Coturnix japonica: one gene and its partner. The protein of the gene in region 2 purifies or fractionates together with the protein of the main gene of each other region. This does not show direct contact. Links are inferred from orthologs where the notes say so. Each region holds a gene or a part of one and is shown on either strand. Other genes may lie near its edges.

Region 1 (16,298 bases), on a different chromosome or scaffold from region 2:
CAATAAATGTGGGAGAAATGTGCCAGTGTGCCACCTGCTGCTACAGAAGCATAAGAAGACAGTTTGCTCCAACACCTGACAGCTTATTAGCTCTGAATGCTGGGAGGTAAGTCAGGTATCATATTAACTCACAAATATGAATTTCCTGAGTTTTATTGTTTTGTCCTTGCAACCTAAACATTCTTCTAATGCATTTGCTTGATGGAAATATTTGCACCCTTCCAGTTAATTGAATATAACAATTTTCCAATTTCTTATTTATTCTTTTTTCAAATTACATGATATATCTGAAACTAAGCCACAAACTCATTTTATTTCTACCTGTTGACCAAGTTTCATGTTCTGATATTTTATTGTTCTAAATTTACCATGAAAAGCAGTGATCTCTTCCCTTTTCTGCTAATACTAAGGGAAAACAAAATAGCCAAATGAGTTTTTAAGGCAAGGGACACATGTTTGTAGCACAGCGTTTTACCTGAAGAAGAAGCCAAAACAGATGATCCTGCCACTCAGTGCCTATTAAAAGTTTATTTGATATACACAACTAAATATTTAAAGTGTCTGTGGCTTGCTTAGGAAAAATAAGCTTCAGTTGATTTGCAAAGTAAATGATCTCAAAACAATTTGCACTGAAAATAATTACTGTGTATGCTGCTAAATGAACATCAAATGAATGCTTTATAACTTACCTACAGTTTTTGAAAAATTATATAGCTTAACAAGACCTTTCTTTTGTGAAAAATACAAGAAAATTTCTATAAATTTACTATATTTAGTATTGTACAAGAACATTCTTTACTTGAAAGTTTTCTATTTGACTATTCAGTTAAAAATAAATTCCTCATATCATAACACCATTAATTATTATCCTTGAGCCTTTCAGCTCCTTAAGCCTGTTTATATTTATTATTGCAGCCAATGTCTTTGAGTCACAAAATGGTTCTCTAAAAGGTAGGGTTCCCTTTCAGCTTGCCTAGGCTTTTCTCAGTGTATAACAAAGACAAGAAAGCAGTTTTTTCAATTATCAGCACTGACCTTTGTTTTGTTTTATAGAGGTGGCTTTAATTGCTTTCTACCATTTAGACAGAATTACTAAATATGGAGCTTGATTCTTCAAAGAAATCATTTTCCAAACGATGTGCTCTAACTTTATCCAGTAGATGGAGCCACGCATCCACAAACAACTTACTCATCAGAATCCAGCCAACACTTTGACAGCGGATATATGCAATTATTACCTTATATTCTTGAACCATTCCATTCTGGTTATCCTCGGGGGGTGGCTGCCAGGTGACTACAATTGCAGTCCCATTCCCATCATTTTTAGTTACTGAAACACTCTGAGGTGGAGCACTGGGCGCTGTTTGTTTGGGGAGAAAGATTGAATGGTTATGTTTGTCAAATGCAACAGTGAAGGATTTTAGTTTTCTTTTTAAAGGAAAACTGGTTTCTGGGCCACAAAAATGTATTATTTTACTCCCTAGCTTTTTGAAAGTGCAATTCATGCCCACAAATTATAATGATATTCAAGGTAAGTGATCTGAACCTACAGGCAGGCTTCCTATTTCTGCTGTGCTGTTTCTGTAAGACAGAAAAAGTCAGGCAGCCCACCAGACACTCCAAACTCAGATAACAATTACCTGAACAGCACAGAATTCTTGAAAGGGTTTCAAAGCATCTCATCCATGATCAACAGTATTAAAAAATGAAATCTGTAAACAGATCCTAGCAGAATGTTAAACCTCAGCTGCTCTACTGTGTGAAAAATAGTGAGCAATACAAACCTTATTAAAATCAGAACTGAATGTATTATGCTTAAAAGATTTATATTTTGAATTTTAAATAGTTTTTCTAAAAACAATATGCTTAGATGATGCTTGGGATGAATGCGATTAAGCATACCTCTTGAACCACCTACAGAAATAAACAAGAGCTATACTGTATTTACATCAGGTAGTAAAGAGATAAGGAAAAAGGTATCACATCCCAGCAGAGGCACTGAAATCCCTATTCTGAAGCACATACTTATTATGCCTGAACTACCAGATGAGCTACAACAAAAGAAACAGCTTTATGAACCTTCTCTTTTTAGCATGCGTTTGAGATGGAAATACATAATTTAGTCCACTATATCTGTTGCCCTCATTCATCTTTTCATTTTGTATTACTGATTGATGCAGATATAAAAGCCTTCTAAGAATGTGGTTTCCATTCCCTCAGCTACAGTGCTTTGATGATTTCTGCGGTGTCTGCTATCTACTCAAGATAGTGATTAGTAAGTGCTTGAATCTGACAGAAGTCACTTGTGACCAGACCATGAACTCAGCAGGGAGGAGTGCACACTGCAGTGAAGATAAAAAGCACATTTCCCATTGTGTGCTGGAGGAGGGTTTTGCACATCCCTCTCTCTCTCTGTCTCTCACACATGGTTCTGAATATTTACTTCGATGTCACCAAACAACTCACTTAATGATCAGTCCAACACATTCTCCTCTGCTACAGACTGCTGTTCTCAAACAGCACAAACTTCAAACAAAATCAAATAATGAACATATCAGAGAAAAGCAGACCAGAATACTACTTCAAAAAGGAAAGATGAAGACAGTCTGGCTCCTACTTACCTTCTTCTAGGGTTTTTGCAAATTTCACTTCACTATCTGCTCCTTGAAACTCATTAAAAAAAGGGCGGGCCTTGATTTCATAGTTTACACCTTTCTTCAGCTCTGGAATGATAACACTGTTTTTGGTTGGAGTCCTCACTTCAAAAATTAGCCATTCCGACTCTCCATAGGATGCTGGTGTTGGCCGGTACAGGATTTTATATCCTTGAATGTACTGAGATTGCTGGTCCACCTGGAAAAGTAGCAGAAAAACAACCTTTACAACACATTGTGCACTTTTTAATAATTTATTAAACAATTAGGAATAATTTATTAAACTATTAGGAACTGTGCATGCTGTCTGCAGCATTAGTCCTTGGTCTCTCCATTTATTTTATTCAAAATAAACAATGCTGAACTTGATACAGGCTCCTTGAATTACAGCAAAGTATAGGACTGATTCAAAAGAACATTAATATTGATGCCGGTTGAATGGCACCAGTTTCGGTGGATTTATGGAAGCATTAAAGAGAGATAGCAGAATTGTATAACACACCATGGCTCTGTGAAATGAACCACGTTTACATTCATGGAGAAGCTGAATGGAGTCAGGAGAACTCAGTATAGACTTTGCCCATGCAAATGTGCTCTGCAGAATTGGTCAGGGAAGAAGACCAGGGCAGGGGATCAATGGCTCTGATGAACACAGATAAAGCACCAAGTGTGCCAGCTCTCCTGAGGTGTGAAGCCTCTCAAAATTCAGGAAATGAGCACTGTTTCCTGCATGCTTCCTTCTGGAGTAAGTGATTTAAAAGGGCAGCCAACTGGCACTATCTGCTTTGCTCTGATGAGGCTGGAGGCTGTTGAAGGGCAGATCTGCCCAAGCACTTCCTCGGCGTTCACTGACTCAGCAGGAGCCTCCTCTGTTGGAGGGAAGGGGCTGTTTTAAGAGGGCTCTTAAGATGCTTACAAAATCAGCATGGCAATAAGGATGAGACTTGGAAAAACAGATCAAAATAATATGGTCCCAAGGGATTTAAACTAAGGCCATTTTATACTGCATGTATGGAGAAAGAAACCTTAATGTAAATTAGGATAGGGTTCAACGTGTTTGGCTGTAACCACAGCAGAAAGTTATCTTGCAGAAGTGATCTCTTGCACAGCATTAACAACAAATTTCAATTTCTGATGAATAAGAAAGTCCAAATGCAACAATAAGAAGCCTTTAAAAGGGTGCACCAGATTTTCCTTATTTTCAAAAATCTCACACAGTAATGTAATAAAACCATTTGCTTGCTAAGAAGAAGAAAAAAAAAAAACACCTTTCATTTTTAATAAGCGCATAAAGAATGCATGTGTTAGCTAAGACTGAAGTAATGCTTACTTTTAAAATTGCAGAGAAGCCACAGGCCACCCAAGGAACTGACAAAAAAACTGGCTGCCTGGAAAAGGTTGTTCTGTAAGTAAAGGTCAAACAAAATTGTGCTAGGAGCCTCAAGAATGTTTTAATGTTATTAGTTAAAAGAGGAAATAGCACAGCGCAGATGGCCTTGCTGCAGGTAAGTGGATGGAACACTGCAGATACTACCTTGTAGTACTGAAGAGCCCTGGTCATAGCTAGGGCTCTTCTACAGAGTAAAAATGTCTTTGCTCTTGCTCATGGCATGGCAGGGGCTACATCCTGTGCTCTGACTGCCAATATTGACTTGTTTAGATGGAAAATCTGAAAAGACTTCAAAGCTCAATCCCATTTGATAAATTCCTGCACTTGTGTAACTTTCCCCCATTTTTTGTCTTCATTATATGTTTTTTTTTTTAAACTGGTCTTATTTTCATTGTATTTTATTTTCTTGTTTCTTACTTTTGATTTCCTATATTGTTCTTTCTTTTTCATTTCTACTTTGCTTCAGGACTTCTACAATATTGTTTCCTTAATCTCCCATTTCCCTGTTATAATCTTCACATGATCAACTTCCTGTTTCCTCCTGTCAGAACAACACCAACAGAACACCTCTGAATTGTTATTTATGTCTCTTCTATTTGTGCTACATGCATTCATAGCACTGTGGGAAGAATAGTATATTCATATGACAGTATTTTGTTTTGGATGTGTTTCTCAGTACATATATAGGATGGAGGAAACACTCTGAAAGATAACTATGCAGTATTTCCCTCCACTGTTGTCTGACAGATGGGGCTAGCCACATTATCTCATTAGGGGACTAAATACACTTCCTACTGAAAGCAGTGCAAAGGCTTCAAATGATTTAACCTAAGAAAGCTTAGGATCAATTCTTTAATATCCAGAGGAGGACTTCGGAACTCTCACCATATTATAAGCAACATTCTCCACAGGGACAAGAAATGTGAAAATGGGACAAAGTTCTATGAAGTATGAAAACAAAGCCCTAGTAGTACTTACTAAAATGAAAAACATTGCCAGTTTTTAAAAAACTACACAGCTTCTTAAAGAGTGACTTCACAGTGGTGAAACAGTACACTTTAGCAATGTATGTAACTACCTTCATGATGCAGATTTGTACTTACTGTCCAATGAACTTCAATTGAGGAGGATGAAAGGATAGTAGGGTTGTGCAGATGTAGTACCACATCGCCTAGTTCTCTCTGTACTTGCTTGTGATCCACACCTTGACTTGTTGGTGGAACATCTGTAATAATTTAAGATTCAATTCCCACAAATATATGCAATTGTTAAAATAAGTATATATAAATACAAATAAAAATATCGTAAAACAAAGGAAGTTTTCATCAGTTAAAGTTATCACAGGTACTCTCCAGAAACATAAGAAAAATCTACAGAAAGTTTTTACTGAGTTAATATACTTTGACAAAAACAGGAGGAAGAAACAGGAGGGAAATGATGGATAAAAAGAAAGAACCATATTCAGAGAGATCTTTGGAAAATGACGACAGAAGCATCTCTTTAATCTTTCCTGCCAGAAGGAAAAAAAAAAATTCTATTGCCTGCTCCAAATTCCATTAGAGACCACAAAAACTATATGAAAGGGCCATTGTGAATGATTTGCCTTCAGGTAAATTAATTGGCAAACTTACTATTTTTAGTTACAAAAGAAACAAAAAATGTAGAAACTAAAAGGATGTCACATAGCTAAACTTCCACTCTGATAGCAGGAGACTTCTGTAAACAGAAGGCAGAGCACAGCTGAGCGTTGTCATGCTCTTCTGACATTTAGTCTATCTTACAGCTAAAAGAATTGGACATATACATGAAGGGACAAATTCCTCTCAAAATAGGCAGTAGGACAATGGAAACCCATTTCTGCATGCAGTGCCTTTGAAAAGAATACTTATCTGAAATTTAATGACTGTCCTAGACATATATAAAATTTATAGGGCAGTCACTAACAGAGTGTTTCAAATATACATGTACAACAGACAGCGGAGGAACACAGTCTCTATATTGATTTCATATGTTTCCCTTTGATCACTTCATTTTAGAAAATACCTTGCTGACAACCGTTAAAATCACAGACTGGGGAATTCAGTGAATGTATTTTTCTTTTCTTAATACAATTCCAGATACAGAGTAATGCATTACATAAACCTTACTCAAGCCTACTACTTCCTCTGTCTCATCTCCTCTAGACTAGAAAACCTTCAAGGATTCAGTTCTCGGAAGACATTGGTAAATTCCATACCTGTCTGCTCACTAGACAGGCAAAAGGGAGTACAAAGAAATTGTGTATATATCTATTACAACTACTGCAATAGTTCCTTTTTAAAGGTACATCTTACAATTAAATGAGAAAGATGGGAAGCATCCTTTTTGCATGGTAGTTAAACTCTCAGTTAAAGTTTTAAGCCTTGTCTAAGCAATATTAAAAAGTTAGTAAGGCTGCACTGAAAAAAAATATCAGCGTGAGAACAGCTTCTCAAAAATACAGTTCCCCTTTTGGCATATAAAGCTGATGCCACTTTGCAGTCTTGTCACATAGCTGACTCAAATATCTGCAAAACAATGAGATCTCTCTGAAGTTAATAAAGAAAATTGAGATTACCATGCAATCAGTAGATGACAAATACAGATTCTTAGAAAGGAATGCTGATTACATTAAAAATAAATAAATAAATAAATATCACAATATTACTGCTATATCTATTATTTTCTGCCTAACAGTTCATTTAACGGAGCATTTCCCTTCCCACCATTTCTTTAATGCTTTGAAAGCTCTAAAGATAGAAAATCGTACTTGGAGTGTTGCCTAAATATCAACTTACTTGGAATGTTACAGGAAAGTTAGTTTAATAATTAGTGATATTTTCACTACTAATTATAAAAGATGAGTCATCAACAATATGACTAAAGCGATTAACAGACTCAGCAATTTTGCAGTTCTGTGCTACAGGACTATACATCATCTATTCTATGTTTTCTTGGTTAGTCTCTGAAGTTTCCAATACAGGGACTGTGAGTGAGAACACTTAAGCATGTTTTTAATGCTGGTAAGGTCTAAAGGCTGAGGTAAGTTAGATTCCTGATCTGGACATAAATTTAAGACAAGGCAATAAATTTCTATGAACAGAAGTTAAGTGGGAAATTTTTGAACTAACTTACAAGCTCAAACTGAAAACCTGTGGAATGCTACACTGCATGAAAAACTGACATGTACAGAACACTGCAGCTCACCTGCCCACACAGTAACACGTTGTTCTTTGAGGCAGTCCTAGGAAACTGTAATTCCTATTTTCTATGCAGCTATAACTATGCTGTCTATACATCCACTGAAATCGTTACCAAACAGAATAAATGCATAATAACAAACAATAGGAATATGAAACTGCCTACTCGCCACGGGAGAAAAACTTGCTTTCTGACCAACTTCAGAACAAATGAAAAGTTCCTAAATGAAGATTTTTTGTTTCCTTTATGGAACTTCCTTCCAAAAACAAACATGCTTAATTCTGCAAACAAATAAATCAAAATATATCACAGGCATCTTAATAAGCCAATGGATCAAATTCTCTACTAAAGCAAGGAAAAAAAAAAAAAAAAAAGGAAGATGACTTTTGTTACTTTTTCTTTGACAAACTTTTTTTTTTTTTTTTTCCCCCTATTTAATCATGAAAGCATTCGCACTGGAACAATAAAGGCTGCAAAGTTCATAGAATCATTTCAGTTCGAAGGCACCTTTAAAGGTCATCTAGTCCAACTCCTAAGTAATGAACAGAGACACCTACAGCTATACCAGGTTGCTCAGAGCCCTGTCCAGCCTGACCTTGGATATCTCCAGGGATGGGGCATCCAGCATCTCTGTGGGCAACCTGTGCTAGTGCTTCACTACTGTTATTATAAAAAATATTTTTACTTATCTCTGATCTAAATATCATCTGTTCTAGTATGAAACTATCTCCCTTTGTCCTATCACAACAAATCCCACTAAAGCATCTAGCCCCTTCTTTCTATGGCCCCCCTCCAGATACTGAAAGGCTGCTCTCAGGTCTCTTTGGATCCTTCTCTTCCCCAGGCTGAACAGCTCCATCTCTCTCTTCCTGGAATTGCAAATAATTATTTCCTGAACACTACCCTAAGTATCATTTTCTACAATGAATGTGAACTTATTTAGAATTTTGTATAGATAGATCAAGTCCATAGCTAGACTTCACCTGTAGCTTCAGTCAGCAGGTGACTCCTTCACAAGCTACTACCCAGTTCTGTCTTTCACTTAGCTATCTCAAAGTATTGTTTCTCCTTCCTGCTGTTTGCTTTCAACAGCAGTATTACTGCAATGCTTTCAGTACACTGCTGAAAGTTCTTTAGTGACTCACAATGCCCAGTTCCTTCAAATTTTAAATCTCTTTCTTTCCTAATGCTGTAGAAGCCAAATTAGATCATATGCTGTTTCTGTCTCTAGTTCTAAGCTTCATTTGGTTCATTGGACACAATAATAACATTTCCATAGAATTTAAGGATTTGCTTGATAACTTCAAAAATCAGAGATCACTTTTGTTGCTAACAAGAGCTATTCTGTAAGACATAACTATTTTTGGATAAGAGATAATATTAATCCCTTAGGCAGCACAATATGCTGTCTAAGCAACTTTTAGAATTTATGTTACAGGGAAATGCAAGTTTAAACAATGTATTTCACTACCTAACATATAGCCCAGCCAGCACAGATAGTTAAAAGCTAGCAAAACTTCTGCATCCAGTCTTTCTCAGTCAACTTGTAGCAGCCAATGTGGACACCTAAAATGTTCAATACCAAAAGCTTACCTTGAGTTTTCACTGGATCAGATATTTGGCTTGGGTCACTTAGTCCATATGCGTTAGCTGCCCTCACAAGGAATAGATAAATTGCACTAGGTTTTAGCCCTTTCACTGCAAAACTCTCTGTTTTCACATTTTCAGCTACAGTTTGCCAGCTGCTACCAGATGCATGGCTAAGAATAAAACACACATAACAGCAGGTTAGCACGTGCTTCTTTAAAAATACATTATATCATTATTATATACAAACTTAAGTACAGCAAGATCACGAGACACATATACCTGAAGGCCTCAATTATGTAAGAGGTTGGCGTTGCACCTGAATTCAAATTAGGTTGCCATGACAATGTTACTGTATTTCTGCTGACATCTGTAACCTCGGGTTTAGATGGAGCACTAGGAATCAAGTTTGGGTCAGTGGGTCTTGGTGGCTGCACTGGGACTCCAAATTCTAACAAAGGAGAGAGAAACGCTGAGTACAGACAGACAGGAAGCAGCTGTAAGCTAAATGCTACTCACATCTGCACTGGTAATTTATGACAGTCAGGTAATTACTGCATTTCAATTTTTGACTTTCTTTTATGCATTTACACCATGCAGAGAGAACATAATTGATTTACCTTGGACCTCTATGTAGGCACTCCATGTAGCTTCGCCACTTGGGGTTGAAGCAACACAGGTGTACCGACCAGTGTCACCCAGCTGAGTGGGAAAAAGAGAAGAATAAATATTTGAAACAATCAGGCACTCAGTCGGCTAGAAAAGTAATTATACCTTTGTACATGACTCTATGAATATGAATAAATCTTCTAGTCTGCAGAAACTTTGAACAAACTTCTTACATTAGAAGGAATCATTTTACATTATACAAAATGAAAAGGGTTATGTTTCTGAGTATTCTTTAAAAAAGTAGAAATGTTGCATATTCTTATTAAACACTGCCCATTCTGAAATCCACACACTGAAGACCAAGTCTTGTAGCACTTACTCCTTACTCTGTAGAGTCCTCAAGAAATAAATTGAAAAAGAACTTAGATGTCAAGATTCCCATACACTCTTCTGCCTAAGTAATGCTTAGGGACTTTCTGGACTGATGAGCTGTAGAGAATGCTGTTCCTAAAACAAAGCTTAAATATTTCACAAGGCCTTTTACCTACTGGTTTCTTTGTGTTAGTATAAATTTCACTCTAAGGCAGACCCCCCAAAAATATCTCCGTATGCTATTCTCATCCACTTCTGAATGATAGCTTACTTGGCACTTAATTCTGTAGAGAGGGCCATAATTTAGATAGCTTTTGAGAACATCACTGATTTTGTGGGACTGCTTTCTAAATTTCTAAAATATCAAATAAAAACACAGGAACCAAATAAAAGAACAGAGGGGTTGTACAACTCCTGCTTTTGTGATCAGCAAAATGTACTTCTTTTTCTATTGGACCTGCAGAGCACCTTCTGGGAAACATAGCTGACATTGCCAGCGCACACAGCTACTCCCTTACAGAAGCTGTGCAATTGAAATAAAAGAGCATTTGCAAGAAATCGTGACACAATGGCAAGAGAATGCTATTTTCTTCTATTAATGGTGCTGATTTCCACTCCCATCTGGAGAACCCAAGGGACACCAAGGAGTCCAGAAGGGAGTGATTCAGGGGACGACACAGGGAAGGGAAAGCAAGGTCTGGACGAGGAATGTTCCCCTTCAGGTACAGTTTGATTTGCTCCTTGACTCAAGTGAAAATACCTGTGGCTTTGTGCAGGACCAGCAACAAGGGCAGGTCAGCAACGCCTGCTCTGGCTGCTGCACCAGATGGGCCACAGGCACTGCACAGTGATGTCACCATGACACATGGGCACCATGGTGATGTTTGAGCCTCTCCCCCTGGAACCCCTCAACAGTTCTGTGGGATTTCACTTGCCAGGTGACAGGGCAAAGGGTAGCTCCCTGCAGAACTAGCTGAGAGCACAAAACACGGTCTACTGAGAGAGTAGATAATGAATGCTCGTTTCTGGTTCTGATCCAGAGGGTCCAGATGCATCCCTAGGCTTTCCTTCTGATTTTCCAGGTCAGGATAAAGGAACAGCCTGGGCATCAAAAATGGATGAAAAGGATGTACTAACTCATCCTCATTAGGAGGAAATCAAATGTACACCTCATGCATCTTACAGGGAAAGCACACATGGAGGCACTGTTATCTCTGCAGCCCTCACTTTTCCAGAGAAACTCTGGGTATTGCAGAAAGTCACCAATTTAAGAGCATTTGGTGGGGTCAGAATGGAAGCTGCATTACAATTGACCAAGAAATGTTTCAGATTGAAGTACTGGGAAAGAAAGGATCTTTGAGAGTTTGGGACAGAAAGCATAAAAAGCTTTATTTGTCAACTTAATGTGTATGGATTTGCAAAAACTCAGCATGACTCCAAAAGATCTCCCTCACTTCCTGAGTTTCTGGCAGAGGAAGAGGCATTTGCAGCCCACAGAAAGGTACGTCAATTGCTCCACACATGAACCAACTCTCATAATATTCTGGTGGAAGAGATGGAGGGTCCAATAAAATAAGCCTCAGTAATGGAGGAGATGAGAATGACAGGAAATATTCTGATCCTAATTTGTTCCTCTGGCTGTTTGCAGGAATTTTAGAGGTAGCATTGCTGAGTACTAGAAATGTGGGAAAAAATATATTTGGGTTTTATCCAGTGAGTCTGAACCCATAAAACAGAAAGATAAATAAACGAGAGTATTGTCTATTACTTCAGCATATCTTGCTTTAGTCATCCTGAGCTGTAAGTTTAAACTGACCAATAGACATTTTAATACCCATGTTTGTCTTCAGCAATTAAAAGTTTAAGTTTCTGTACCTCACTGTCTTTCAGTCTCAAACTGATCACAACTCTTCTCCTTTGCATTTTGCAGTTACTCTGCTACTACAACCCCAGCTTCAAGAAAGAGTACCCAGAGCTGCTTGAACTCAACAAGAACAGAGTTGCCCTGTAGATACAGGAGAGCAGCTGGCATTCTAAAATGGAACCCAATGCACAGCAGGAACAGCAGTACCCATTTACAGGTTTATAACTTTGTATTTCATAGACAAATATTTCTGGAAGTAGGATGTCTGAATAATAAACCCTTTCTATTGCCATGGCCTTTTCATTCATCCAGGTGAAATTTCAGATCACATTTTTATTTTTCTTCAAAAAATGTAGAAACAATGGTTCTCTAATGTCAAGGTAACAGTCTTCTGTAACAATGAAGCTCCAGACCCTTAGTCATAGAGGGTAACAGACTGGTTGATGTTTTCATGCTGCATGTGCTGAGAATGCTCATCCTAATGATGTCTTCTGAGAGCAAAAGGAGAGACTAATTAAATAACAGCATTTTAATTATTGAAGACTCATAAAGGGATCACCACCTTCATAGAATGACTGCTCACAAGACAGTGCTCTACAGTGCCAGGCAATAATAACTTTTGATTTAATTTCCAGGCTAACATTTACCAAAGGTTTGAGAAACCAAGTGCTTTGTAGAAGCCTTCTCTGGAAAATCAGAGAACACTGTTCAGAAGACCTGGAAAGATATTTGGTCTTTCTTGTTACAGAAAGGTTATTGTGGATAAAAATCTGATAATAGTTCTAAAATCTCATTTCTTTACCATCCTCAACACTATGCATTGTACCAAGAAAGCAGTGCAAGAAATAATTGAAAACAGCATAAGACAGCACTACCACAGCCTGACTGTTGCTCTGGTTTCTTTCACAGAATCATAAAAATGCTTAGATTGGAAAAGACCTTAAAGATCACTGAGTCCAACCTCAACCTAACCATACTACCCTAACTCTAATAACCCTCTGCTAAATCACGTCCCTGAGCACCACATCAAAATGGTTTTTAAACACACTCAGGGATGGTGGCTCAACCACCTCCCTGGGGAGCCTATTCCAGTGCTTAACTGCCCGTTCTGTAAAGAAGCTTTTTGTGACATCCAACCTAAACCTCCCCTGGTGCAACTTGAGGCCATTTCCGTTCATCCTGTCACTAGTGAGAAGAGACCAACCCTGTTCTTACAGTGTAACTGGTAATTAGTAACAGAACAAGTCTAGCAAAAGTAGTAAAGCCATGTATTTGGCCTAATTTTAAGAATTAATACATTTCAAACCACATAAAAGATAATAGAGAGTTAGTAGGCAAAAACATAATGTCATTTTAAAGAATTTTCCATTTTGCCAGGCATGACCAGCAATACTGACCAGGAAGAACAGGCACTTGCTACAGTTCCCTAAGAAAGCCACGTATTTGACGGGCATTAACCATTTTAAGGCAGGGCTATACTATGTTTATAAAGTAAAAATATTTAAATTATAAATGTTATATTCAAAAATCTGTGAACATGACTCCATAACTGCAGTATCCTTAGCAGAGGCTTCAAATAATTAGATAATTTCCATCTATCAGTGATGAAACTCAACTTATATAAGGATTCATCTCACTGAAATGTAAGTTTTTCTTCTTCCTTCATGTTTTAAGTAGCAAATAATCCCCTTATTACTTAAAAGCATTTTTCCATTGAAATAATAGGCCCTAGGCTATACAAGACATGGTGTAAAACTTAAGGAATGAACCATCTGAAAACTTAAAGTATCAGATATTTTAATACAATTATTTAACATTTCATTAATTTTAACTGTAGTATTTCCAATATGAAAAAAAAAATCACCTGAAGAGAAATAATCAACAGACAACAACAACAAAACTCAGCACAAAAAAGAGCTGGCCAGTTCAAGCTACCTTGGCATATCGGATCTGTAATGCTCCTGTCTCCAACTGCTTGATGCGAGAGTCCTGGGTAGAGACCAAGATCCCATCCTTTTTCCAGAGTATAGTGGGTGTTAAAGTGCCTGTGGCCACACAGTTTAGTACTAAAGTACCATCTACAGCTACAGTCTGATTCACAGGACCCTGTCGAATGACAGGGGGAGGCCGGTCTGCAATCACTGCCAGAAGAAACAACAGGACATAGATTTCTGTGACTGGAAGCAATTTTCTAATCATCTAAGCAACAGCAGTTGCTTGAGGCTTTGTAACAAACTAAAGATAATTAAACAAGTAATTAAAGTTGGAGGCATGCATTATTCAGGGCATGGTGCATCATAATGATGCACAGCTACAGAATTTATAATGATATACAATACATTAATTTCAGAAGGGAAAGAAGAATTACATATTACATAGGCATTCTGTAATTGCAGTGTCTTCATAAAGTGATAACAAAATGAGAAAGGATTTCCCAATGGTTTTGCAATTCAGTTTTTACCTTGTTCATTTTTTGGTTGTTTTGTTTTGTTTTTTACCATACAGAGCACCTGTGTAACAGAATTCAATACTTTCAAGATTCAGTGATAGATATTAAGCAGGTAGGCAGACATTGAACAAAATGGCAAATATCTAGGATATATATGTATATATTTTTTTGTCTTAAATACTGTGAACCATCAACTTATTTTTGCAGTTTCCTAACTGGGATTTGCCTTCCAGTAGACTAAACACAAAGCTAATGAAAGTACTGTATCAAAACTTTTCAGCTAAGAATTATTCTCCAGTAGTTTCAGATTTCCAGTTTTATGATAACTTCACCTGCAATACTAGCTCAAAACTATATGGAGTAACACACAGTGTGTTTGCACTAGTTTTACTGCATCTTGCAAACAATGAAAATGAAATGGTCTTGATATATTATTTAATAACTATGCAAAGAAAAGTATAAATAATTTCAGCATTCATAGAAACAGAAATATGACTATACTTTTTTTTTTTCTTTTCTTTTTCCCCCCCCCCAATTGTTCAATGCATAATCAAGAAAATAAGTAAAACCTATCTTACTGAGTGACCTCTCTCTTTCCTGTATCATTCAACATGACATGGGCTGTCGATTTAGAAGTAGCCATAACTTAAAGTGACATAACTGAGCTTAGCAGTGCCATGGGTATTGATTTAACTTAAAAGCTAGTTTGGTTGTTGAAATATAAACCTGAAATTCTGAATTTGAGAACATCAGATATTTCTAGGTTATTTTCATACAGGGTGTTGGCAATGGGTTTTTTTGGCTAAGTTCCAACTGTTGTAATTTCATTTGCATGTTCAAATGACACTTGACATTTTCAATTGCTTAATTTACCTTTTACTTCTTGTCCCAACCTGTTGTAATGTTCTGGAAAGCACTGTGAGACCATTAGTATCTTTCTCATCAGAGTAAGTCAAACCTAAGCTCACACATAGTTTATATTTAACTATGACAAGTGTCTAAAGAGCTTTGTGTCTAAAGTTGTGTTGTTACACAACAAAATGGCAACACACAATATCCAAAATTGAAACTCATGATAGAGATGCCCCAAACAGGATTTTAGGTTCAAAAAAAACCTGCATGCAATATGTGCTCATGTAAAGCAGATACTAAAATAACATCACATACTCTCACTGATATATTTAAATAAAAATAAAAAATAAAAACTTGGAAATGATAAAAAAACAAAACAAAACAAAAACACACAAGCAAACAAACAACAACAACAAAAACAAGGGATATCATTACCATCAGTAACTTCCAAGTAGGCTTTTGTTATTATGCTTCCTGCAACATTTAAAGTCTGACAGATGTAGTACCCAACATCAGACCGCTGAACATTGGTGATGGTGAGGTCTCCTGTCTGTGAAACTGAAAATCTACTGGATGACTGAGGGGGCTGGTATGAGAAAAGCAGATTCTAGAAGGTGTTTAGGAAAGAGAGTTTAAAAAGAAGTGTTAAATAAATTCAGATATTAATAACCTTAAATATACATAAATATATATAAAACATATTGCTCTTCAAACCTTAAGCATTTTTGTACACAACAAGAATAGCTTTTATAATTTTTTTTTGGTGATAAAATAGGCACACATTTGCCCTGATTGTATATGTCTTTCAGGATTGCTCTAATAATTTCCTTAGTCAGTACTGAGCTTTAAGCAAACTTTAATAGGCACTAGCAAAAAATTAATATGTACAAATGCCAGGATGGTGCAAGAAACTGGTAAACCTAAAAAATTTGCTTCAACATGTATTCATACAGGACATTCCCTTTACTGTATTTAAAATGCAAGAAAAAAAAAAAAAACAACAAAAAAAAGGTGGTGCTTCGTTTTTTGTAATCATAGTCTTTATATTCTGTAACAAACCTTGAAATACATAATTTAATCCTAAACCAGTTTCTAGTTAAATAGATAGTTTTGGTATTAAGTGCATTGTATTTTACCAGAAACGGCCTGAAGTGAAACTGCAAACAATGCAGTATAATTATGTTAAATCAAATATTGGTTTAAAATGTACACCTTTGGCTGAGCAAGGCTATTTTTCATCTCTCTTTCTTAAATTTATTTTGAACTTCCAAAAATCATCTGAAAGGACGGGGCACTAAGTTC
Region 2 (16,935 bases):
ATGCTCAAAATGTACTTGCCATGTGACTACCCAATACAGAGCCATAATTAACTTACAACCAGTTTTTTCCTATGCCAATTACATACCCTTATTGTTATACACAGACTGCTCAATTTAGATTACCACAAAGAATGTTTTCAAGCCCAGTTTGTCTACTCTCTTGACTGATATCCACATATAGTTTTCCCACACACATAAAAGCTACAACTAACATTCTTTCAGCGATTGCAGAGGCAAGCAAAAATGCCCTCTAATTTGAGGAGAAGCTATTCAAAGAAGTCATAATTATCATACAATCCCAATTCAGGAAAAAATTCATTGGAACCGTTTGCTATTCAGAGCTACTGAAGTGTTAAATAAATAAACTAATTCACCTCAAAATAAATGTGCTGTTGTGTGGGAAAATAATAACACAAGCACAGAATCAATGAGACAGATGATGTTATATGTAGCAATCAACATCACTGATTCCAACAGAATCCTTTAAAAGTACAAGACTAACCCTGATCTGGTCCATGTCAGAAAAGTAAAACTTAAAAATGGATTTATGTATATTAGAAAATTCAATGAAAAGTAATTTTTTTTTTTTTTAATTAAATGGATTTATTCACTAAGTTGGTAAAGGGTGTCTGCCTGAGAAGAAATACAGTCCTGCATCCCATTATCTGAGCCTGCATACTTTTAGTCCCTTCCAAGATGTACTACAGAAAGGGCAGTCATTCTTACTTAAACGTGAAAGTAAAAATAATCCTGAACTGAGCTGTTGAAATATCTGCAGCTATTTAAAAAAATATAAAAAAAAAGAATTTAAAAGAAATAAAACAATACTCTAACAAAGTCTTCCAGCCTGCAATGTTAGAAGTGAAGTTTTTGAAGAGATTTCTTTCCTTACGATGAAACACTCCAATGCTTAATTCATCAAAAACACACAGAAAGAATTTTTAGTTGTTTTTCCTTCAAATTTGAAGTGTATGGACATAATCACATAAATATTACAGGGAAATATAGCACTTTCTATTTGTATATTATTTCCAAACAATTTACATTTCCAGAAACATTCATAGGATTCTAAACTCATATATACACATTGGCAAGAAAAAAATAACTAGGAATAAAATACATAGTTTAATGAGTTTAGGGCAGATGGCAAATTAGTGGGGTGGTGATATATCCATAAAGACTGTGCCAGACAACAGAAGGGGCAAAGCAGGCTTTTTGGTCAATGCCAGCAGATTTGCTGGAGAGAAAGCTAGTAGCACATGAGTAAAGGAGAAATAAGATCCATATATCAGAATAACTCCTACCACCACTGATGGAAAACAAACTGCCTTACAATATGCATTAGGTTCTCAAAAGTGACACCTTAAAAGTTTACTGGTCAGGTACTATAAAGAAAATGATACTTAGAAATACTTTCTAACAAATATGCATATCCTTTGTGATATCAGTTGAACGTAATGAAACAATTCCAGTCAGAACCGAATTAACATATAGCTGGAAAATGGACTTGGAGATGGACATATGCAATAAAGATCAATAAAGGACTGCATTTCACTTTCATTACCTCTAGTCTTTAACTCATCCTCTTCCACTTCTATATCAAGGTCATCAAATACTGCTGATAATGGAATCTTCAGCGTGGGAATACTGGGTATTTTAAAATCCTTATAAGGAGAAAAAGAAAAAAGTATATGTATTTGTATCTACCCCTTTCCCTCATAACTTTGTCAATGAGTAACTAAAAGTGACTTAACGAATTTCAAAATCTTACTGTCCGTAAAGTGAGGATTTCACAATAGATTTTATCATGAAATAATACATCTTTGTTTTCACATTAGTAGCTACAATATTGCATGATTTTAGGACAATAGCAGAAGAACTGAAACAAAGCAAGCTATAGTGTTTTTTCCTTTGACAGAACAGTTATCACATCAAAACCACGGTTTCTGGTTTTGATCTGCCACCAGATGGCTCACAACATTTAAGAAAGGAATTAAACTGCTAGCAACAAAAATATACAAATGCAGAAACAGATTATTCAGCAAACAATTACTGCGTGACAAGCTCCTTTTGTGAGCTCATAAAAACTCTACACAGAGTATGACACAGACAAAGCCCTGATGATTTTTCTGTACATCATACCCATTTCTTCAGCAGAATAAAGCAGGTTTAGTTGTCACAGGGCACAAGTTAAGAAGTCTAGACTTTGCTCTGTATCAAGTCACTAGAAGTTCTAGTTAACAGATGTTACAATAGAATCCAGCAGTACAAGTGCAATTGGGATGCTGGCATGTACTAAAAAACTACTCATCTTTCTGTCCCACTTCCATCTTCAATAGTAAAACCCCACACACAATTTACATATCATCTTTCCCAATACTCAATTCCCCAGACAAGGTATTTTTAGAAATACTGCACTTCTATCAGTTTTAACCAAGCTACTCCTCAGTTTTATGGAAGCACATTAAACACAATAAAGAAATAACACCCATTTTCCAGACATATGATGAACAACTATACTTTTAGAAGAAAAAATGGGAAGCATAGGTGAACCATTCCCATCTTGTAGTCTTAAATTTAACCCAGTGCTTTTTCTGTACCTACAGAGATTATTATTGATTAAAAAACAATCAGGCTATAAGATGAAAACAGCATTCTCAGGAAGTACAGATTACACAATCTGAACATATAAGGCTGGCATTGTCTCCAGAAAAATTTATCAGAACAGAGAAACAAGCAGAAAGTATAGTCACAAGAAATAAGAAAAGTCAGATTCACAAGAGAAGTCACAAAGTTTATTGTAAAGATACAGCTGATCATTTCACTGGGTTAAAAAAAAATACCTGCACGCTATTTTCTTGTGTTTGAGTCAGCCTTGCATTGGGCAATGGAGAATGAGATCCTAATTTTCTATCCAGGAATACTTCCTTACTACAGGCGTAACACCAAACACGGAGCGTAGTAAGGTTGACAGTTAGACAGTGCTTTGTCTCCTAAAACAGGCAAAAAAAACCAAGAATGTGATTCAGAGATTTAGCTTAATTAAATAACAGAAGTATTAAAATACTGGATCTTTCAATAATGAAATAATTGTGCATGTTAAGATACATAGTATTTATAGCAATTTGGTTAGTACAGTTTTAGCACATGCGGCAACACATTATTAGCATAAGCCAGTCAAAGTAGAAACAACATATAATCAGTCTCCAAGCTGCTGTCATACGTGTGTGAAATGCTTCAGCGTAGTTATAAAAGCAAAAAGACTGACTGTATTCAGAAGAATTACATTTTGCATTAAACTCATTTTCCAGGTCTGCCATTGGTTGTAAGAGCAATCTCCTCCCACACAGTAAGGATGATGTTTTATTCTACTGGTTTGCTGTATAAAATTCAAGCCATTGGTTGCTTAACAAGCAATTAGATCTCAAGTCAGAAAGGAAAAAAATGGTTTATCGTATTTCAGTTTGTGTTCATATCTTTGTGGGTCTGATCTTTAGTCCATTTATTGTAACAGTTGCTCTTATCAAATTCTAGACCCAATTCTAGACTCAATTAATTCTCTATATAACATTATGGACACACAAATTTTTGATGGACAATATCTCCACTGTTGTAACTTCCACCTTTCATTCATGAATTTCTTTTCCTACTGTAAGATCACACACATAACTGCTATTAAACTCCAAAGATTTCCACCATCCTTCGCTGTATGTGGCAGCACTGACCAGCTTTAGATAAGAAATTTTCTACCATTAAGGAAAACAATACCACAGCTGCAAGGATGTCTGATTTCCAAGTACCCTCGCTTAATATGGCCGTGTAAAATAGCGTTTTGTAACATTAGATGTGGACTATAGCTTCATTAAATAGCCCTCTAACTGCACTGTGACTTCTTTATAACACTTTAAATGAGGGCTTTAGAACTAGGATTCACTTAAAAAACTTGTTAAAGAGGTACACTTGTATACAGATTTACATCAATCCCACACTGATGTCCATAGACATGCAGTCGACACTGCATCAGAGGAAAAAAAAAAGACAGGAGTGGGGGTGAAATGCAATCAAAACATACTTTTAGGAGCAAGCATCCTATTTGTTCATTAATAATCATCACTTGGTTGTTTGTTTTCTTCCTCAGTATTATTAAAAACCAAAAATTTCACAGTGTGCAGCCCTCAATTTATTTTCTATGACAGATGAACTGCAAATTGGCAGCAAAAATTTAATCAGAAAGCCAGTGAGTAGGATGTTAATAAAGCAACCTCTGTTCCTAGTATATTCATAGAATGGCATAGGTTGGAGGGGACCGTAAAGATCATCTAGTTCCGGCCTTGCCATGGGTAAGATTGCCAGCCACTAGATGAGGCTGCCCAGAATCCCATCCAACCTAGGTCTCCCCAGAGCCTTCTCCAAGCTAAACAAGCCAAAATCCTTCAGTCTTTCTTCATAGGAAAGCTGCTGCAGCCCTTTGATCATCTCCAGGGCTCTCCTCCTGTGCTGGGTGCCCCAGGCCCAGACACAGTACTCCAGATGGGGCCTCACAAGGGCAGAGCAGAGGGGGACAAACACCTCTCACCTTGCTGGCCACCCCTCTGTTGATGCAGCTCAGGGTACAGCTGGCCTTCTGGACTGCAGGAGCACACTGCTGGCTCATGTCCAGCTTTTTATCTATCAGGATTCTCAAATGCTCCTCATATTTGTTAAGAAAAAGTGACATAGCTTATTTGTTCCATTTTGGCAAAGGTTCCAGTCACACATGTATGTGCACGGAAGAAAACGCGAGTTTAAGATCCAAACAGATGCACTCAAGCTGGTCAGCCCAGCCAGAACTCAGCACGTTGTCAAACACAGCACACACACACCACTGCTCTACCAACCTGGATCTAAAATCAAAATCTAGCAGGAGGACGTGTCCAGCTTGATTTACAGGGTTTTTATCTGAAGCCACTACAACAGGGACCATAATGCAGAAACAAAGCACCAGTTTCATGAATTAAGAATCACTAGTTTTAACATTCTTTATTCTGTATCTTCATCAACACAACTTCCCTCCTCTCGTTCATCAGGCAACCACAATCCCATGAAGGCAGATGAAAGCATAGCATAAAACTTGAGGTACTCAAGAAGCCTCTTGTCTATAGATCTTGAAAATTATCACTGCTTATTTGGGTGGTTTTTTTTTGGTGTTTATTTTACTGTTCCTTTCAATTTTCACCACAGTCTTTATAGAAGCTCTGGGGTCAGAATTACATAAATAATTACACAGCTGCAGAAAGATTTTATTCACACATCCCTAAGCTAATGAAACATGATCCTGTAAGTGAAAGAAAAGCAAAAATAAGGGATTATGCCAATATATGTTATCAACTTCATTAAACAGGGTAAGAAAGTTCCGTAATTCTACTTCAGTGCTTCAAGCTACTGAGTTACTAACAAATGCACTTACCTGGGAATGGATGGTACTGTGATCAACATGGGACTCGCCACAGCCAACATACGTACATCTGTTCTGTTGAACAAGATATGAAGAAGTACACAGAATTAAAAAGTGGCATCAAACAGGTTTACAGAATAGGAGCACACAGCCAGTCCACTTCAAATGCACTAATATTTCAAACTTTCAGGTTCCTACAGAAACCAAGAGACATGCACGCTAAGTGTTAAAATAAATATTACCTAAAGCTAAGCCAGAATGCTGCAAGATTTAACTCAACTCCTTAACCTGGTGGAGAGCATAAAACATTTAGTATTTCTAAAACGTACATATTTTTTGCCATTTTGATATTTTAGTTCAGATTAAAGTCAAAGTACATTTTTACTATTCATTATTTGACAGAGACTGTAACAGAAAATATTAAGTTAGCTCAGTGTCCAAAACACTGAATCACAACAGACTAGAAGCAGGACATATGTACATAAAAATGCCTTTATATCCTTATATACAAGGCCTATTCTTCATAGAATTATCTCACTGTTCATTGATTATTTACCTTGAAATAAAGGTTTCTGGCATTATGTGGTTAGGCGCTCACTACATTTTACTTAAAAGATCTAAAGCAGTTTTTGATTTTAATTATTGAGTTTAGCTGTGCTAATTTCAAAACATATTTGGCTGAGTTGAATATGAAATCTCGCAGTTGTCAATCTTCATTAATTCCTCATTTGCATGAGTCAAGACAATCCTTTATGAGGGTACGGCATGTTATCTGTATAGTGCTCTAAGCATGTTAATTTATGCAATCAAACTGCAGCTGGACACAGTCAAATTTCTGCATTAAATTATCACAGGTGATGGTTAGGTTACAGATAGTTAACATGCTGGGATCTCACCATGTGCTGGCTGCTTTTCTATGCACAAAAGGTGAAGACAAGATGTTAATTCATCCAAGAGGAGATGTATCACAGCATGAAACTTTAAATGTACTACTGTAATCAGAAAACTTAACTGGAACTGTTGGTATGAAATTAAGTTTTTCAATAAGAGTCCAAGAGCTCTAAGTGAGAAATAAAAAACAAGCTTTAAGCTTCACAGCATTTCCCCACCTGCCAGATTCATGCATCCCTCAACACCTCTTCCTATTTGTCTTCCTATTGCCAAGAGGATTTTTATATGCAATTAAACTTCAAATCATTTAAGAAAAAGACATTAAATGTGGCTGTTTTTCCCCCTCCTTTCTATCTTCTATTGACGGAACAAAATCTGATCTCTTCACCATTACAATACATTTAAAAGGTAAATAATGATGTATATTTTTAAAAGCATTCATACATGCACCTATAGGTTTCCATCTCAGCCTAGAAGTCTTCCTAACAGGACTTAAACAGAGGCTGTCAAGAAATGAAGCCAAGCCTTTACAGTAAAATATCAAACTCAGGAAACAGCTCTAGGCTTTAAGAGCTCAGAAGACATTTTAAAAACTAAAGCAGCTTCACAATCTCCTGTCGGTATGGATAAGAAGCAGAGAGAAAGAAGAACAAGGTAACAACATACTTTAGATATAACTATACATAGCTTAAATACAGTACAGAAATTCAGCTAAGTCTGAAGAATGCTTCTACATGTTTAAAAAAAGGGTGAGAGTGTTACTTATTTTTAAGAATCAAAATTCAGAGTATCTGTTTTGATAGCTGTAGGAAGCCAGCATATACTGCCAGCTATTAGTATTAAAAATCGTAAGAGAAGGTTAGAAAAAGTAGCTTAATTTATTCAGGTACAATATATTATCTTAGGGTCTACAGACATAATGGAAAGAGTTACTTTTTAATTTTTAAACCTATTAAACAAGAAGAATCCTTAATATGCTGGCTTCTTATAAAAAACCTCATTTCAAACACAATAAGTTACAAGAAAAAGAACTTCAATAAAGCTGTTCCTTCCAACAACATAAACACTACCAACCTTTAGCTGTAGTCTTCTAGAAAAAGATTACAATTGAGCTACTTACCTCCAAGCATGCCCAAAGGTTGGGTCCTCTAACTTTACAGTCCTGACAGGTGCCCTGTTCAGTTAAAAACACAAGCAAAGAACGATTTTTAGTTACGGTCATCAGTAAACCACAACCTCAAGATGAACTGAGAAAAATACTGCAAGACCAACTATTAACTGTGTTTCAACCATCAGGTAATTCTTAAGGTGGAACAAAAAATAACATTTGACAACTTTTGTTTCTCTTAACCCAATTTTAATCTCTGTGTACCTAGTAAAATCTTACAGCTCTGAGATTTCATCTGAAGAAATATTCCTCTAAATAAAACATAAATACATTTCATGTCACATTATCATCAAAATCAGCCAGTCTTGCTCATCGATTTAAAACCCAGAGAAATGAAAATGGAACTTATAACACCTGCACATTCCTATTTCCATACATTCAACACTCCCTCCAAAGGTTTCCAAAGAAAATATGACACTGGAGAAAAGCTATTCCCCTCAGCAGCAAACAACTGCTCCCCTTCTACAACCGTGGACAGAAAAGGTTTAACTTTTCATCACTTCCCCATTATTAAAATGAGTTACAAAGTCTTTTGATCTCTTTATTAATACTAGCTAGAAACCAAGAGTTCAGACAGGTTTTCAACCTGTGGCTCCTTTATCAGAAAGTAAACTGTGATCCAACAAAAACCAAAGTATATATTCCTCCATTTCACTCAAAACATCAGTAATACTACCTACAGTAGTACCTACTCTATAGCTACACTTCCACATTCTAAGTAACTAATTGCCACAACAGAATCACCTGAAGAAGTTCTGCTTATCTCTTTTAAGTGATATATCCATTAAAGCAATATCGCTTGCTTTTAAAAACACTGATGGGAAATATTACTTTTAAATATCAAGTATGAAAAAGGGCTTTCAGCCTTAAAGTCCATTATTTGTACCATATTTAGTTTAAACATTATTACAGCAGTGCAAAAAAGATTTTACTGCATATTTAGTTGCTTGTTGGGTTTTTTTTTTTGGTTTTTTTTTTTGCATTTAATGCCCAGTAATACAAGATGAACTGTGCAACTTATTCATAAGGATGCTTAACTGAGATAGGAAGGAAGGAAGGAATGTGCTACAACTCACATGAGACTTCTGTATCAATTCTTCTTTTGTTATCTCTCCAGCTGACTCCAGGTGTGGACAATTGCTGCTGAGCGATGACATTTTCATATGCTTTCTTTTGCAAGATCCAGACCCTGGGATTTCCACGACCAAGAATGCACTTTTCAACAGGAGCGAGAATAAGCAAAACCCAATTCCTTACAGTGTGCAGCAATAGTAGAAATCTAATATACAATCTTTACAAGAATATGCATTTAAAAAATGTTAAAATAAATAACTTATCAAAACTGCGGGAATCAGCAGTCCAAACTAAATACAACTGAGTTGTAAAAAATGCAAAACACTATTTTTCTGAGTTTTAGGGTATAAACCTAAATGAGTGGAGCAAAGTCAGTCTGGCTGAACTACTCATCTTCCTGCCTTCAACCATGGCACTCAAAAGGCAAAAAATGAAAGTGACAGCTTTCAGGCCTACCCAGGGCTGTATGTTTGGAAAGTGTTATTACACAATACTGCTCAAGTGTGCTGAAGCCACATGACCTACTTGTCAAGGCAGAAGGAAACTTTATCTTGCTTTTATTTATTTACACAGACACATTCTAGATAGCAGATACACGATATATCAAAAGCAAGCTGAAACTTGTAACTCACATGTAGTACCAACTGCCCAGCAAACTTCCCTCTTGCTTGAGTTCTTCCTGTCCATCCAACAACCCTGATGCAGACACACAAACTTATCAGAAACAAGCAATGCTCAATACATTCACTTTTCCATCATTATTTCAATTTTAAAAACTGAACATGGCTACATTATGTTCACATAAGTACTCAGTGAACTCTCACTCCCATTTTGCCACTTGAACAATTGCTATTGATGCCCTGATCTCTTAAGCCCAAGAAGTCTTACATTTTCATTGCCCAATTATCCATCCAATCTTGCTCTCCTTTACCAAGGCATGCAGGAAAACTTCCAACCTAACTCAGCAATGCACTTTATTCTGTCTGCAACCTTATGCTTTGATCTCCACTTCTCATTTGCTCTGGCAGCTCTAGACCTGTTTCTTCACCTGCATGACCAATCACTGCTTTTAGTGCTACGTAATCCCAAGGCTCTGGCAGCAGAGATTGGGAACAAAACTCTGCTAAGCATCGCATACATACTTCCTAGTAAACTTCCAGCTTTTTACCTTTTACTTGGTCTTCATTTCTACTCTCCCATAATAAGACATTTGTCACTTCAGCTTCCTCTGATTACTGAAGACAGCTTTTTTGTGTTCTTAGCGTACTATATGAATGCTTTATGTACCGTGATTATATATTATACCTATAAAAATAATGTAAGGCATATGAAGATATATATGTCATATATATATATATATATATATGAGTGTATATTTTAATATATATGTGTACATATATTCAACATCTTTCAATCTTTTTGCACATCACAGCTTTATGATAAAATACCTGAGATCACAAGGCTAGAAAGACAACAGTAAATAATTTGGGATTTTAGACCAAATAAAGTCTAAATTCTTTTCCCTGATTAATGGAAGAACCTTTAAAGGACACTGTTATTGAATATAAGTTGCAGATGAAAACATATTTTCTCAGCTTGTGTCCATTTGCAGTATTGCTGAAAGACTTCAAATACAAAACTAACAGTTTTTCAGGCAAAAAACTCATTGACTTTGTCATACTGGAAATTCTGGTTTGAACTGTAAAGTTCCTTTCTGGAAAGGAAACAGAAAGATTTATGCACATTTCGTCTTGTACGTTTCACAATGTCTACACAAGTGTTAAAAATGGATGAGTGAGTTTCAAATAAAGTCTTATCTTAAAAGACGTCACGGTGAATTAAAGCTGATTTAACACAAATGCCTTAGAAGGCTTGGTATAATAGCTTACTAAAACCTTGGCTTCATTACTTTACAGAAGTATATTTCTGAATGAAATATTCCAACCAATACAGAGCAATGAATGATGAACTTCATCTCATACTACCAGGTATCTATTCAATTGCTCACTATCAGAACTGCAAAACCAACATAAATAAAAAAATCATGTAAACCATCACAAAAGCATGAACAATATTTTAAATATTATCAACAATTTATTCGTTATTCAGCATAATTCCATGGCATTGTAAGACTTGTGTGCTGACTAGCAGGGAAGGCCTGTCATATACGCATAGAAAAAACATTAAACACTAAGAGTTCAAGTAACCTTGAAAGCTTACCACAGAATTTCTTAAGAAACAATAGATTGTAATTTTTATTTATATATAATATTTATTTATAATTATATATAATATTGTAATTACTTGTTTGTAATTTTTTAATTGAAGCTAGAAATCAGTGTTTCCATTCATCTAATCACAGTAGTTAACACTGTAACAATGTTGAAATAAACAAATATTTCCATTCAGCTGATGTCCCCAGAGCCTTTTAATCAGATCATTATACAGGGCTGCTCCCACACACCTGAATACTCGCCCTACGAACTATATAAATAAACTAATTTGAGAAATCAAAAGATAATTGTAAAAAACCTAATCTTACATAAATCCCAGCCGAATAAATCGTACATTTTGTAAACAAAACAGAACTCAATTGTGGAATGTTGGGGGAAAACAGAACAAAAGGATTATTCTGAAGACAACAGCTGCCTCAAGCAGTAATTGTATCTTCATTATAGGCTTTAATTACTGTGAGGATTCATCTCTGAATAACAGTGTATTTAGCCAGTTAGCACTAAGCTCAGGGCTCTCCATCTACACTTGGGGTTATTTCACTACTGACACACTGGAACAGTCATGTTTATTTTCTCTTTCAATACTAATAAGCAAGAAGAGTGGTACAGGGACGCGATTCTGTATCTGGGTGTTTAATTACATAAACAGTAAAGAGCTCTGTAGCTTTCAGTAATTAACTGCTACACAACCAACATCACCATCCCCTGCAAACTGCACACGCCCTTTGCCTCAGATGTATGTAATCAGATGTTAAAGATGCACATTTTTTTAATCAACATTCTAAATAATTCTGCGACAACCTATTACTTTGCAACAACAATGCGTGCAACACAAAACAAAACATCTTCTTTTTTATTAATCTTGAAAAGGTTTGGTAATAAAACAAATCTAATCAAAAGGACCAAAGGAAGATCGCTCCTTAGTTTCACATCCTACTTTCTATTCTGTTATCCAGTCCATGGTTTTGATACCTTGTCCCTGGATCCAGGCAACAAGAGTTACTCACCTTACCAAGTCACTTTCATTATATGTTTTGCCTTGTATTGTTTCATACAATCATTAAGGTTGGAAAAGTTCTCTAAGACCATCCTGTAAGACTGTAATCTACCACCAATACTGTCCATTAAATCGTGTCCCTATGTGCCACATCCCCACGTATCTGGAACACCTCCAGGGATGGTGACCCCACCACCTCACCGGGCAGCTGTGCCACTGTATCACTGCTCTTTCTGAGAAGAATTGTTTTGTAATACACAACCAATACGAGATCTGAAACGTAAGGAAGGAAAATGTGTGTCTACACCCACACACTTGCACTATCATGCATATGGCTATGGCCTACAACTTAACCAAGAAACTTAACCAAGAAACTATATATACACACACACACACACACACACACACACACATATATGCATATATATATATATAGATAGATAGATATAGATATATTAACATCGTTCTCCTTTTTTACATGATTCTTAGAATCCTGATTAACATGATTCTACAGTATCACCTATGACAGTTTAAAAAATTCCTTTTTTCTCTGGGAAGCGTATCTTTAGAATTAAGCTTGAAAGCAGGCGAGCTAACCACAGAGTACAAGCATTACACCGAAAATTAAGTCATAACTGATTAACTGAGTACTGGAGCGCTAAATCGTCGAAAGGACATTAAAAAAAGCTCACAGAATCACAGAATGAGCCGGGTTGGAAGGGACCCCAAGGATCATGTAGTTCCAACCCCCCTGCCTGGCAGGGCCACCAAACATACACCTTTACTAGATCAGGTTGCCCAGCTCAAACTGGGAGTTAACCCGCTTATAAGGTTACACAATACTTACGCTATGTTGCCTTCTAAAACCTACAGCCTGCCCATCCCCTTCTCTCCCCACACACTGCCCAGCAGACAGACCCGGAGCACCGAACCCGCGGGGAAGGCCCAGCCCGTCCTGTGTGTACGGTCACAGCGATGGCTGGGGCCAGGCTGCTTCACACTCCCAAGTCCGGACGCAGCCACCGCCCGCTCCCCCGCTTCCTATCCCCCTTGGGGCGCACAGACCACCCCCGTTCCTCCTCTTACCGATCCTACAGCCGAGCCGCGGCCACTCCGCTAAGGACGCGCCTCAGGCTCCATGGATATCGCTTCCACACCCCGCAGGCCGCGGCGCAGAAGGTGACCGCACAGCGCCGCACCGGGCCGGCACAGCGCCCCCTGCACAGGCGGACCAGCGCCCACCGGACAAAGATGGCGGCGGGAGCGCTGCCCCGCACAAAGATGGCGGCCGCAGGCTCTCGCCCCGCCCGGCCGCCTGCAGGGGAAGCTGCCCTGCCAAAAGATGGCCGGCGCGGGATCCGAGCGGGGCGGGCTGTCCTGACGTGTAGAGGCCGCCTCACGACCGACCTCGGCCGCTCCGCCCGGAAGCAGATCGTTGCCGTCTCCTAGCAGCGGCGGGAGCGGGGAGGGAGCCGCCCGCGGGGCTCGTGGCTGCAGCTACAGGTAACCGAGGGCGGCACCCGCCGGGTCGCTTTGCAGCGGGGCTCGGCTCGTAGCCCGGCTTTGGGGCAGGAGGGAGCTCTCGCTGTCACCCTGCGCTGGGGCTGCGGTTGGAGGTTTGCGCTGCGTTGGGCATCGGGGAAGGGTGGTGCTCCTCACCGAGTGAGGTTACGTCAGGCTGTGGTATTTATTCCTTGTCGAGTGTGTGTAGAAACGATGCATCTCTCAGCGAGAGCCTTCCTGTCTGCCCACGAACTCTTTGAGCTGGTGGATACGGTCCTGCTGACAGTAGCGATCGTAGAGCTGGCTTGTGTATAATTTGGAGGATATAAGCAATGAGCTTTTAGGTAATAAAGCAGACAGCCCTCTGCAGGTCCCTGCTCACACACACAGCCCTTTGCAGAGAGCAGTTACAATGGGCTGGAGCTGAGCTAGCAGTGCACTGTTTTTTTCACTAAGCACTAATCCCTATGCACGAGCATCTCTGACAAGTTATGGACCTGTTATCTGGGGGCAGCAAGCCTGTAAAAGAAAGTTGTCCTGGGCTTGCATTGCATAATTCTTCATCCTTCGTTTGACAGTATTTAGAGGACATCTGCAGCTGATGTTTTCAACGTGATTCAACTTAATGAATTGATGGGAGAGAAGGAGCCATGTCAGAGGAGGCTGTTACTGAAGCACGCTTTTCTCTGAAGACAGTGGCTTTACGGGCATTTCACCTTCCTGTGTCCTGGTATCACTCTCTCACACAGGTAATGTGCACATTATCTGAGTTTTGTGATACATGGTTAAAGTTTAATTGTAATATTGTACTCACTTTTTTTGATATTAATATGAGCTAAAATTGTGAGGAGCATCTTGGCCTTAGTAGCTAGAATAACGATTTCTTTTATCCTTTCCTGCTGATGGTGTATCATTGTATATCAGATGGCTTTTTCTGCTATGTTTGTCCATCTTCATTTTGTACAATCAAAATACCTGAACTGTCCTTTTCTGTAGAAGTTTTAGGTAGTTAAAACTAAACATAGCAGTTGGTTAAATTTGGGGAAGCACTATGGAGTGCAAAGCAGATCAGCAGTACCACACTGCAAGTTCATCTATATGATAATTCTTTAACAGAAGTAAAAAAAAAAAAAGTGTACTTCTCACTACTGAGTTACTTCTGCTTGATTAAATAAGTGACAAATTACTAAAACAAGGCAGTGATTCTTATGAAATATAGAACCAGATCCTTTTGTTGTTATTATTTTTTGCTGTTTGTGTTATTAACTACAGGATTTGCTTTCATAAATAGACTTTATATGATGTATTTCATTGATACTGTGCTGTATAAATAGCAGCGTGGTTAGCAGTCCCTCATATTTGGGTAAAGACCGCATTTATTCTGACCTTTGTTTTCAAGTTGGAAGGCTGTGAGAGTTGTGAAGCTGATGCTCCTTGTATGCAGGGAATAGTAAGATGTGTCCCTGGAGCATCCTCATGACACAGGCAGGGGGAAGGTGCTGTCATTACATTGTAGAGATCCAGAGAGAAGAGATGCTAGTTGCCTGTAACCATGTTTGATAAGCAACAGAGCGAAAAACATCAGAATTACTTGAAAATATTAACCTCAGAGAATAAGTATGTTGAAGAGTAAGCCACATGGATGTCCCACTAATCCCTTTGGCTCTCACCTGGCCATCACAAAATTTGAGAAGTAATTTGTCAATAATAGTTTCTCAGGGTATGTGAGAACAGAATCTCTTAGTTACCCAGGCTGAGCACACCAAAGGAGTCAAAGGGGAAAGGCAAGAGTTAAGAAGCATGGGATTCTAATGAAGTCATATTCTTTAATTTTCAGATAAAACTTTCCCCTGGTTTAAAGAAGCTGTTCACAGTCACAGCAGTGAGTGCAATATCTGTCATTTTTCTGGCTCATCATTTCAAAAGAAAACGTGGAAGGAAAAACAAGCAAGCATCACAATGGGAGCCAGGTCATCTACTATTAGAATGTACCAAAGCAGCTGCATCAGAAAAAGGTACACGAAGAAACCTCAAAGTCTTTTTGTCTTGGGGGGAAGAAAGGGATGTGAAGGGGTAGGTGTATGTAACAGTATATGAAGCAATTTTCCTTTAACATTGAGAAGGTTTGAACTGTTTGAAGTAGAAACTTAAAAACAGAATTATTGTTTTATAAGTTAGTCTTCTTGATGTTAATGTTTCAACTGTAAATTTGAAACAATATATATATATTGTCAATAGGATACTAACAATTGGATTTGCAGTTCTCATGGATGTACATCCATGTACATGATTGTTTGCTTCTGAATTGGATTTTATTGAAAAGCTCAGAAACAATTCCTTGCTAGTTCTTGCTAACATAAGATTTGCTAGTTTTAAAGCTTCTACAAACTGAAGATGTTGTATCTAATAGGTTCAAGTTGTTCCAGTAGCCGACAAAACTTGACTCTTTCCCTGAGTTCCGCCAAGGAAAAAGGATCACAGTCATGTATCTATGCAAATGGAGGGCTTTTCAGTAAATACTCTGGTTCAGTTCAGAGCCTGGTCTCCGTAAGTAAAAGCGTTTTAAGGCATTTCAGTGTCTGTTGACCTGCATTGGGTGCACATGTAATGGTTTCACTGAGCTGAAATAACTTTCCTGAATAAGGTGTGTTTACCACCTCTGAAAGCTGGAGGGTCTGACTGAGCAGATGACCTCCTTGTGGAAGAAGCTACGATACCTTCTACATTGTGAAAATAGCTTTTCATAGATGTTTATATAACTGTAAAGCAAATGGAACGGCCCACTGATTCTGTCCCTCTGACCTTTCCTGTCTTGCATTTAACAACTTCATAAGAATCCAGTTCCGTGAGATGGAATGAGCCAAAGCTATGCTACTCAGTGCAGCCAAAAGCAGGATTCCCCTTGTATCCTGCACTCAGTTATACATTCCTATGTGTATGTGTATATAAATAAAGGTAATATAAATATACATACACAGCTTCAATGCATTTTAGACCTTTTAGTGAGTCAAGTGAGTTCACTGACTTAGCAGTAAATCACTTGTAATAAATCAAGATTGAACGCTTTCTTGTTAGGTTAGTGATCTGGATTCAATCTCCAAACATTAGAATTCACACATGAGTACCAGAAAAACCTGAACAGAGAGAGGTAGTGAGACCTTCTCAGCCACATCAGCTCCTCCTAGACTTCTAGTCTGGAACAACAGGTCTTGAGGATGCTCAAAAACTTCCGAAGTTGTATAACTCACTGGCACAAATGCCATCAGAAGAATAGTTTAGTATATTTCAAAGATGACAGAAAGAGAAGAAAAGTAAGAACCACTGAACCCTTAGTCAGTATACTAAAATAAATGAAGGTTCCTTGTGCTCCTCAGCTACATTGTAGATGCTATGGTTTGGAGTCTTCAGACTGCAGATTATCTTTGTTTCAGTGATCAACAGCTCTAATTGGAAACTGTTTACAGAGCAAGAAGTTTAATACAGTATATCTTCAGTGGTGTTCCTAGAAAGTAGGTTTACATCAGTCTAGACAGCTTTTTATTTTTGAGACTTTCCTACTTTTTAATAATCTATGGTCAGATTTACTGGGAGAACAACATTGTAGATCAGTGATTACTTTCATATTTCAGAAAAG

What was found.
Region 1: the proteins of USP33 (region 2) and ROBO1 purify together in Homo sapiens (affinity purification with western blotting; 5 studies listed by BioGRID and IntAct, with this or other methods). This does not show direct contact. The link is inferred for Coturnix japonica from reciprocal best matches to the Homo sapiens genes USP33 and ROBO1.

The regions. Positions count from the first base shown.
Region 1 is NC_029516.1:86,724,326-86,740,623, reverse strand, and holds part of ROBO1 (roundabout homolog 1), read right to left. Parts: intron 15,604-16,298; coding exon 15,432-15,603; intron 13,837-15,431; coding exon 13,631-13,836; intron 9,553-13,630; coding exon 9,471-9,552; intron 9,302-9,470; coding exon 9,133-9,301; intron 9,024-9,132; coding exon 8,857-9,023; intron 5,270-8,856; coding exon 5,148-5,269; intron 2,854-5,147; coding exon 2,622-2,853; intron 1,361-2,621; coding exon 1,239-1,360; intron 1-1,238. UniProt on the Homo sapiens protein: Receptor for SLIT1 and SLIT2 that mediates cellular responses to molecular guidance cues in cellular migration, including axonal navigation at the ventral midline of the neural tube and projection of axons to different regions during neuronal development.
Region 2 is NC_029523.1:16,712,572-16,729,506, reverse strand, and holds the start of USP33 (ubiquitin carboxyl-terminal hydrolase 33), read right to left. Parts: upstream 8,729-16,935; 5' UTR 8,657-8,728; coding exon 8,570-8,656; intron 7,500-8,569; coding exon 7,446-7,499; intron 6,495-7,445; coding exon 6,447-6,494; intron 6,349-6,446; coding exon 6,331-6,348; intron 5,510-6,330; coding exon 5,447-5,509; intron 2,994-5,446; coding exon 2,844-2,993; intron 1,665-2,843; coding exon 1,565-1,664; intron 1-1,564. Other genes in the region: MIGA1 (mitoguardin 1), read left to right, coding at 13,952-14,050, 15,139-15,316, 15,712-15,848. UniProt on the Homo sapiens protein: Deubiquitinating enzyme involved in various processes such as centrosome duplication, cellular migration and beta-2 adrenergic receptor/ADRB2 recycling.